Linked DNA regions of Arabidopsis thaliana. The protein of the gene in region 1 interacts with the protein of each later gene in a biochemical or structural test. Each region holds a gene or a part of one and is shown in the gene's direction. Other genes may lie near its edges.

Evidence for each region.
Region 2: the proteins of AHG1 (region 1) and PYL13 form a complex in vitro, tested with the Arabidopsis thaliana proteins (one study listed by BioGRID).

The regions. Positions count from the first base shown.
Region 1 is NC_003076.8:21,024,914-21,029,832, forward strand, and holds AHG1 (Protein phosphatase 2C family protein), read left to right. Parts: upstream 1-1,961; 5' UTR 1,962-2,002; coding exon 2,003-2,467; intron 2,468-2,533; coding exon 2,534-2,878; intron 2,879-2,944; coding exon 2,945-3,050; intron 3,051-3,664; coding exon 3,665-3,999; 3' UTR 4,000-4,275; downstream 4,276-4,919. UniProt on the Arabidopsis thaliana protein: Negative regulator of abscisic acid (ABA) responses during seed germination.
Region 2 is NC_003075.7:10,252,395-10,255,548, forward strand, and holds PYL13 (PYR1-like 13), read left to right. Parts: upstream 1-1,964; coding exon 1,965-2,459; downstream 2,460-3,154.

The DNA.
Region 1 (4,919 bases):
TTTGTTCGACTCAATTTTTCCTCACTTTCCTTTTTCATCAAAAATACCAATTTTCTTATTTTTCTTCGAAACATATATAGCCTAAAATCATTGACAATGTCATGAATATTTCCCTTGACTCCATGCCATGAAATGAAACCTATTTTCTTTGTTGTTCTCCGATTCTTTATAGTTTTCAGTCATATTTGGTGATCAAATTAACTGACTTTAGTGCCATAGAGTCTTCAGAAAAATTTATTGGTGTTTCCATGCATGCTTCTACACATTAGTTTCTTTTTGCAGGAGATTTGGACCCCACACAAAGTATTTTCACTACAAACACTATTCTTTCTCATTATTTTCCAACTTTTTCTGAATTGATCATAGGATTTTTGGTAAGCAACTTCCCTTCATATAGTAATTCTAACCACACGCAAAATTATTAAACCAAATTTCCGCAAGAAGATCATAAAAAACTGAATAAACAATTTAAACAAACATTGATGTACGAAGATAACATTTCTATCATATATGGTTTATATATAATAACCTACTAAAACAGCCAGGGATTGAAATTAAGCTCACTAGTTTTTATTTTCTTCACATAAAAAAAAAAACAAAATCACTATATCGGCAAGTTAAGTTTTCAATCATTAAAACCTAAAACTAACCACCCAACCCACCAATGATTAAAACTATATCCCAGTCCCAACTAATCACAAATTTAAGGTAAAGTGTGTTTGAATCATTTTTTAAGAATTTTAGACAAGCTTTTTCATTATTATCTTCCTTTTAGATAACTTACACATTTATATTAGCTTAATATTTTGTTTGTTTTAGTTTTTAGCTAAACCATATCATTCATGTAGAGAGAACCACCCTAACTGTTATGATCTATTCGACTCGTATTAATTCTCATCAATATAGCAAAATATTAGGATTGATCGATCCACATATTTCAGTTCACCCACTTTAATATATTTCAAAGACAGTTTGTAAACATTTATTACGGTTTTCGTAGATCTTGAGTATTTGAATAAATAATGATATGATTCTTTGTATCTTGTACAGTTGCTTATTTGAGTAGACATTAATTACAAATCAAATCTGTTAGCATAAAATATACATATATCGCCGTTTTTCTTCATTTGTAGGAAACCAAATAAAGAATAAAAGGCATATGGCACTGATGGACTAAACTGGCATAACTATGCTACGTGTTTAATTGGTACAAGTCGCTCAACCTGAGGAATCGAGAAGTTGTAGATGATCACTATGTGACATGTGTTGCACCGAAAAAGAGTGACTAGTGACGATTGACGATTCGTCAACCTTTTTCTCCGAAGATATCTCCAACGTTATGGTTAATCCCATGATTTGGTTTAAGTATACTTACCGTTCAGGTTTTATAGAAAATACTACTCGAGATTTGGAACGATCAGTAAATGTTATTCCAGATTTAATATAGTAGAAATTGTTTGTTTTCACTTTTCAAAAAGATGGTTTTCAAAATTTAATTCTTTTTAAAAATAAGAAAATTGATATAAACCTTTTCAATATTGTTACATTTATAGTCATTGTTTTGACATTAATGTTTTCATATTGAAAGCAAAAGGAAACAAGATGCAATATTTCGTATATCATGAGTTTTTCATTTTCTATAATATTTGATGAATTAGTCCAGAACCAGCCTGATCCTTGTAGTTCACATGGTTTGAGAGATCAGCTCCGGCTCATGGGTTCAAATTCAAGCAAGGAGAAGAAGAAAGGAGTTAAGACACAAGAGCCTAGCTAAACGACTATCGTCATGAACCCAAAACCGGATGCGGTTTAACAAAAACCGAAGGCGTCTCCACGTGGACAACAACTTAACACCTGAGCCTAACACGCGAATACATCGAAACACCGACACGTGTTCTGTCTTCCTCGTAAGCTTCTTTATGTTCAAAGTGTTCTCTCTTTCTCTCGGCCCCATGTATATAAAGCGGTGCTCTCTTGATCCACCGAAACGAATTTTGAAAAGATGACTGAAATCTACAGAACAATTTCAACCGGACGTGGAGACGACGTTTCTCCGACTAAATGCCGTGAACGTCGTCGTCGGAGAATTGAGATGCGGAGACAAGCGGCGGTTTTCGGCGAACCTAGTTCGTCTAGGAATCGTGATCGGACGGACATGGAAGTTTACTCAAGTTTTGACGTTCCATTGAGGAAACAAGCTCGGAGGTCAGAGATCGGTGGTCTTCCGGCGGATATCGGGGGCTTTTTGGCACCTCCGGCGGCATCTTCTTGCCAAAAATCGGAAGCGCCGGTGTGGAAGGGAGAAGAAACGGAGGATGAGCCGTTGTACGGTATAGTTTCGGTTATGGGAAGATCTCGTAAGATGGAGGATTCGGTTACTGTTAAACCGAATTTGTGCAAACCGGAAGTTAACCGGCAAAGACCGGTTCATTTCTTTGCGGTATACGATGGCCACGGCGGTTCTCAGGTAAGAAAATTAACCAGGGGTGGTTTGGTCATTTAATATAAAGATGCTGATGTGATGCGTGGACAGGTGTCAACATTGTGCAGCACGACTATGCACACGTTTGTCAAGGAGGAGCTAGAGCAAAACCTCGAAGAGGAGGAAGAAGGAAGCGAAAACGATGTCGTGGAGAGGAAATGGCGGGGCGTGATGAAACGGAGTTTCAAGAGGATGGATGAGATGGCAACGAGTACATGCGTGTGTGGGACTAGTGTGCCGTTGTGTAACTGTGATCCGAGGGAGGCTGCGATTTCGGGTTCAACGGCGGTCACTGCGGTTTTGACGCACGATCATATTATTGTAGCCAATACTGGTGACTCACGTGCGGTGTTGTGTCGAAATGGAATGGCTATTCCTCTGAGTAACGATCACAAGGTGGTGTTCTTGTAAAGGTTTGAGAATATTGGAGTTTCTATTTTGAAGTTGTTGAGTTTTTTGCAGCCGGATAGACCAGACGAGCGTGCGAGGATTGAAGCAGCTGGTGGTCGAGTTTTAGTAGTGGATGGAGCTAGAGTTGAAGGAATTCTAGCCACGTCCAGAGCCATAGGTATACCTTTCTCAATTCTCATATTGTAGTAAAAGATGATTTTAGTTGATAGTGTTGAAGATGGCAAGGAACTAGAGCCTATAAGGGCAATAATAATCATTTCGGATTTGGGGTTTAGGGTTTTAAGTTTACTAACTAAGGTACTATGGATTGGTTTCATTTGGTGCGAGTTCTTTTGTTGATTAATTCTAATTCTATTTTCAAAGATGTTTTATAATTGTTCCTTTAAAAAAAAAATATGTAAATTTTACTCTCTTTTTTTTGTCAAAATGTTAACTAGAAATTTTACATTGGTCCTAATAGTTTAACATTTGACAAAAAAAAAAAAAAACAAAAAAAATTATATTTGCAGCATTAACTAGAAAACAAAAATAATTGAATCATTTTACGAAAATAAAAAATGTGGGCATTCATACAAACCATCTCATGGATTAGAACGGGAGAAGTATTTTTCTTAACTTCAAAAGTATTTAAATGTGTCTTATCTTTGTATCTTTCATTGTTTGATCATTTAACCAACTTAAAATTTATTTCGGTTATACAATTTATTAGACTAAACATGAAGTTTTAGTATGGAAATTGTTCCTAATGTTGTGTTACAATTCATGGAGCAGGGGACAGGTATCTAAAACCAATGGTAGCATGGGAACCAGAAGTAACATTCATGAGAAGGGAATCTGGAGATGAATGCTTAGTATTAGCAAGCGATGGGCTTTGGGATGTACTCTCGAGTCAGCTAGCTTGTGACATAGCTAGGTTTTGTCTCCGCGAAGAAACTCCCTCGAGCCTTGATTTAAATAGAATGGCTCAAGAAGACGACAATGACGGAGAACAAAATCCTTCAAGGAGTGTATTGGCTGCAACGTTGCTAACGCGGTTGGCTTTGGGTAGACAAAGCAGTGATAATATAAGTGTGGTCGTCATTGATCTCAAGAATAGCTCTCAGTAAAACTAGTTTTGGATCCTTTTTTTGGTGGTTGTGCAATTAAGTGGTTAAACCAAAGAATAAGATGTTGATATAGCGATGAGCCTTAATTAGTTTTAGGGTTTAGCGCCCGTCTTTGTTTTGTTATGAATTGGGGTTACCAATACACATTAACACCGGCGAATGTGAAAGGAAAAGAGAGTTGTTTGGATATGGGCTACAAGGTTATTTAGTGGTTTGGCCATGGGCTATTAAGGGTATTTAGTGGTTTAAACAATAAAATAAAAGTTAACTTGAGAGAATTTGTTCTCTAATTTTGTTTGTTGTATGTGTGTGATCATTTTGAAGTTATTGATCGTTTAGCTATTTAGGTGGTATGTGTGAAATAAATAGATAAAATAAAAACGTAGTACTGCTTTGGTTTTGTTCGTTGTAGTTCATTAGACGCCGGTCTTGGTCTTTTATATTTTTTTGATGGACTGATCATTTCCAATGGTTAAAGTCATCTCTGTCTACAAATACTTACATTTTGGTACAACCTGAATGAAGTGAATTTAAGGCTGAGATTTTGAACCAGCCCTAACCCTACTCAACCGTGCAGTTTTATATTTGGTTCAACAATGCTATATAGGCTTTTGGGCCAATTACCAGATTGTCTTTACTCTTTAGGCTTTAAAGGAAAAAAAAAAGAGATGTGCAAAAGAATCAAAGAGAACAATTCAAGAAAGAGAGACAAAAAGACAACTCTTATAGTTCGATGGAAATGGAACAATTCGAACAGGTTTGACGAATACAGAGTTTTGGTCCTAAATAAAAGGGAGATCAAGAATCAAGAATTGTCTTTGAAGTAAAACAAAAAGCGTGAGATGGAGAATGTTCTCATGAATAATTCTTACATTACTTTTTGTTCTTTTCTTTTTGGGTCATTATCGTCTCAGTGTTTG
Region 2 (3,154 bases), on another chromosome or scaffold:
GGTTTGTTACAAATCGGAAGTTTTGATCTATCATATCTACTGTAGTTGCTAATTAACTCGGCTTACTTGCGCCCGTCTCATTTTCTTTGAGTGTAAAAATTTGTTGATCATCAATAAATAATTTTACTGATAGAGATAAAAAAAAATAAAAAATTTGACGTATTCTTTTCTGTTAGACCGGATAAATAGACATTCAATCAAAGGTTTTTTTTTTATTAACCTACAAGGTAGTGAACTCCATTTGTTAGAACAACTTCCATTACCTTCGAACTTTTTTTATTCTTAATAACACAGAAAGTTGTGATACGGTTGCAAAACAATTTATCAATGGTGCCGATAAGATTGTTCAGAGGGTGGCAATGGGCATTGGTTTCACTTGCTTACCATAAAGAAAGCAAGTTTGAGAAATACCAAAATTGCGATTCTGTTTTTGATTGTGACTTGTGAGCCCCAACAATATATGTATATATTTCAGCTTGAGCTCAATTCCCATATATGCTACAACTCTAAGACGCAATTTATGAAAATTTGGATTTTAAATAGTCATCATGTCCATGTTTCTCGAGATGGATATCTAAGAGAAGAATAATTTGAATTTTATAAGTTTATTAAGTCATATTTTTAATACTTAAATCCAAATATAATTTGTTCCATGTATTTTATTTTTATTCTTATAATACACTTATGGAAATCTATTCTATTTTACTTCATATCTTTACCCATTTTTAATTTGCAATTTACCTTTATAATCCACTTATAAATATATATAAAAAAATCTATTACATTTTATCTCATGTCTTTACAGATTACACATTGGAATTGAGTTTTTTTTTTCATCTAAAACTTTTGTTATTTATATAACCATGGAGGTGACACAATGCCGGCCGTTAAACATGATCTTAGTCTAGGAAGGCTAAACATAAAACCAAAGCCAAGAAAAGGACTAACAAACGGACTGGATAGTTTGAAACCCAAAACCAAAACAGAATGGATTTTGTGCTGTGTGGGGTGAAGCATAAATGTATAAATGGAAAATATCATCATTAAAGTTTGGGCTTATACGGGCCTTATTTCTAATAGGCAATAGACTGATGGAACATTGAATATGCCTACCCTGGATATGTAGAACTTGCATGGCTCTCGGATTGGATACGTAGAACATTACACTTATGAAGGAAAAAAGATTGGATTCTTTTTTTTTCTGGTCGGCAACCAATTAAGAGAAACACTGTTATGTTTGTAAACAAGTGTGTGTTTCGCTAAATTCCATTGTGTGCTTTTCCGGTTTAAATGACATCTGTATTTACCTCGTGGGCAATGACACATCTATCTATATTTAGCTCCAAAACATTGCTGCAGCAAATTTCCAAAATAGACCGACTAGATTTTAATATAATATTGGTAATTTTTATCAGTTGGTAAGATATTTAATTCTTCGTGAAAAGATACTCGTATATCTCTCTTTCTGTTTAAATGGTTGATATAGTCAAAAGAAAAACCTTCAAAGAGGGTTTGTTAAAACCATATTCCCTATCACTCTTGTCAGAATACCCTTCACAGATGGTTTTGTTAATCTTTTTGATAAAACCAAGTTCCAGAATATGCAAGCCTTTTATCAAAAAGCAAAAGAAAGTTTCTAAATATGCCAACAAGATTGTGTAATTTTTCACTATACAAGGCAGTCAATACTTGTGTACAAGTTTATATTGTAAAATGTTTTTTGGTTAGTATATAGTAAGAAGAATTCGAATCGAACTCTAAAGTTTAATATTACATGAAGAATTCGTAAATAAATTAAACAATATAAAACACTATAAAAATATTTTAGTCGGTGGCTTGCCTTCATTTATATGTACGTAGATTCGTTCGATATGCTTTAAAACAAGTGAATACGAAAATTCTAAAGTAAGACACGAAAATACACGTCGATAAAAGACAAACCCATTAGAAAAACAAAACAGAAAATGGAAAGTTCTAAGCAAAAACGATGTCGCTCTAGCGTAGTCGAGACCATTGAAGCACCATTACCACTAGTGTGGTCCATCCTACGTAGTTTCGACAAACCACAAGCTTATCAACGTTTCGTCAAAAGTTGCACCATGCGCTCTGGCGGCGGCGGCGGCAAAGGAGGAGAAGGAAAAGGCTCCGTCCGGGACGTGACGTTAGTCTCCGGCTTCCCGGCGGATTTCAGCACGGAGAGGCTCGAAGAGCTAGATGATGAGTCTCACGTGATGGTGGTAAGTATTATTGGCGGTAACCATAGGCTTGTTAATTACAAATCGAAAACGAAGGTGGTCGCGTCGCCGGAGGATATGGCAAAGAAGACGGTGGTGGTGGAGAGTTACGTGGTGGATGTGCCGGAAGGAACTAGCGAGGAAGATACAATATTTTTTGTTGATAACATTATTCGGTATAACCTTACTTCACTTGCTAAGCTCACAAAGAAAATGATGAAGTAAGCTCTATATGTTTAAGCTAATCAATAAACTAATCGTAGTTATAGTTATGAATCATTGGATTAAGAAAAAAATGGATCGTTATGGATTAGTTTTTAATCTTTAAGGCTTTTAGCATTGCAATAATAATAATAAAAATATAAAGAATCGGAATAATATGCTCGTGTGGTTTCTTTCTTCCGTGATTGTAATTGTCTCTTTTCTCCTACTCTTTTATGAAGAGAAATAAAATGAAGGTTATTTCTACATTTTTACAATTAGGAATCTTTGAAATAATGGTTTTAAATTGTTGACTCAGTTGGTTTAGTTACTAAATATACTGATTTGTATTGCTGACAACAAAAGTTAGACTAAATACATGTTTGAAAATTTTCTTGATAATTCTTTGTCCATTTTGCATAATGCATAGTAAAAGGGCATCATGTAAGATTCTTAATTTGAAGTTCTAAACTAATTAATATCAATACTTTAGTATAATATTATTAGGTTGGAAGGTATTTTACACTCAGAACAGAAAGTATGATGACCTAAACTGTAGATCTCGTGAATTTCATGGCCGTTTGACTCAAATCTGTTCGGAGGTTATGAATTTATGATGTCCGTTGAATCATTGAGCTGTTGAACTAATGGAGTGGTTTACTCTATAATACTTTGGTGTGTTTTTATCAAAAACCGACCGAATCAACAGATATAATTTA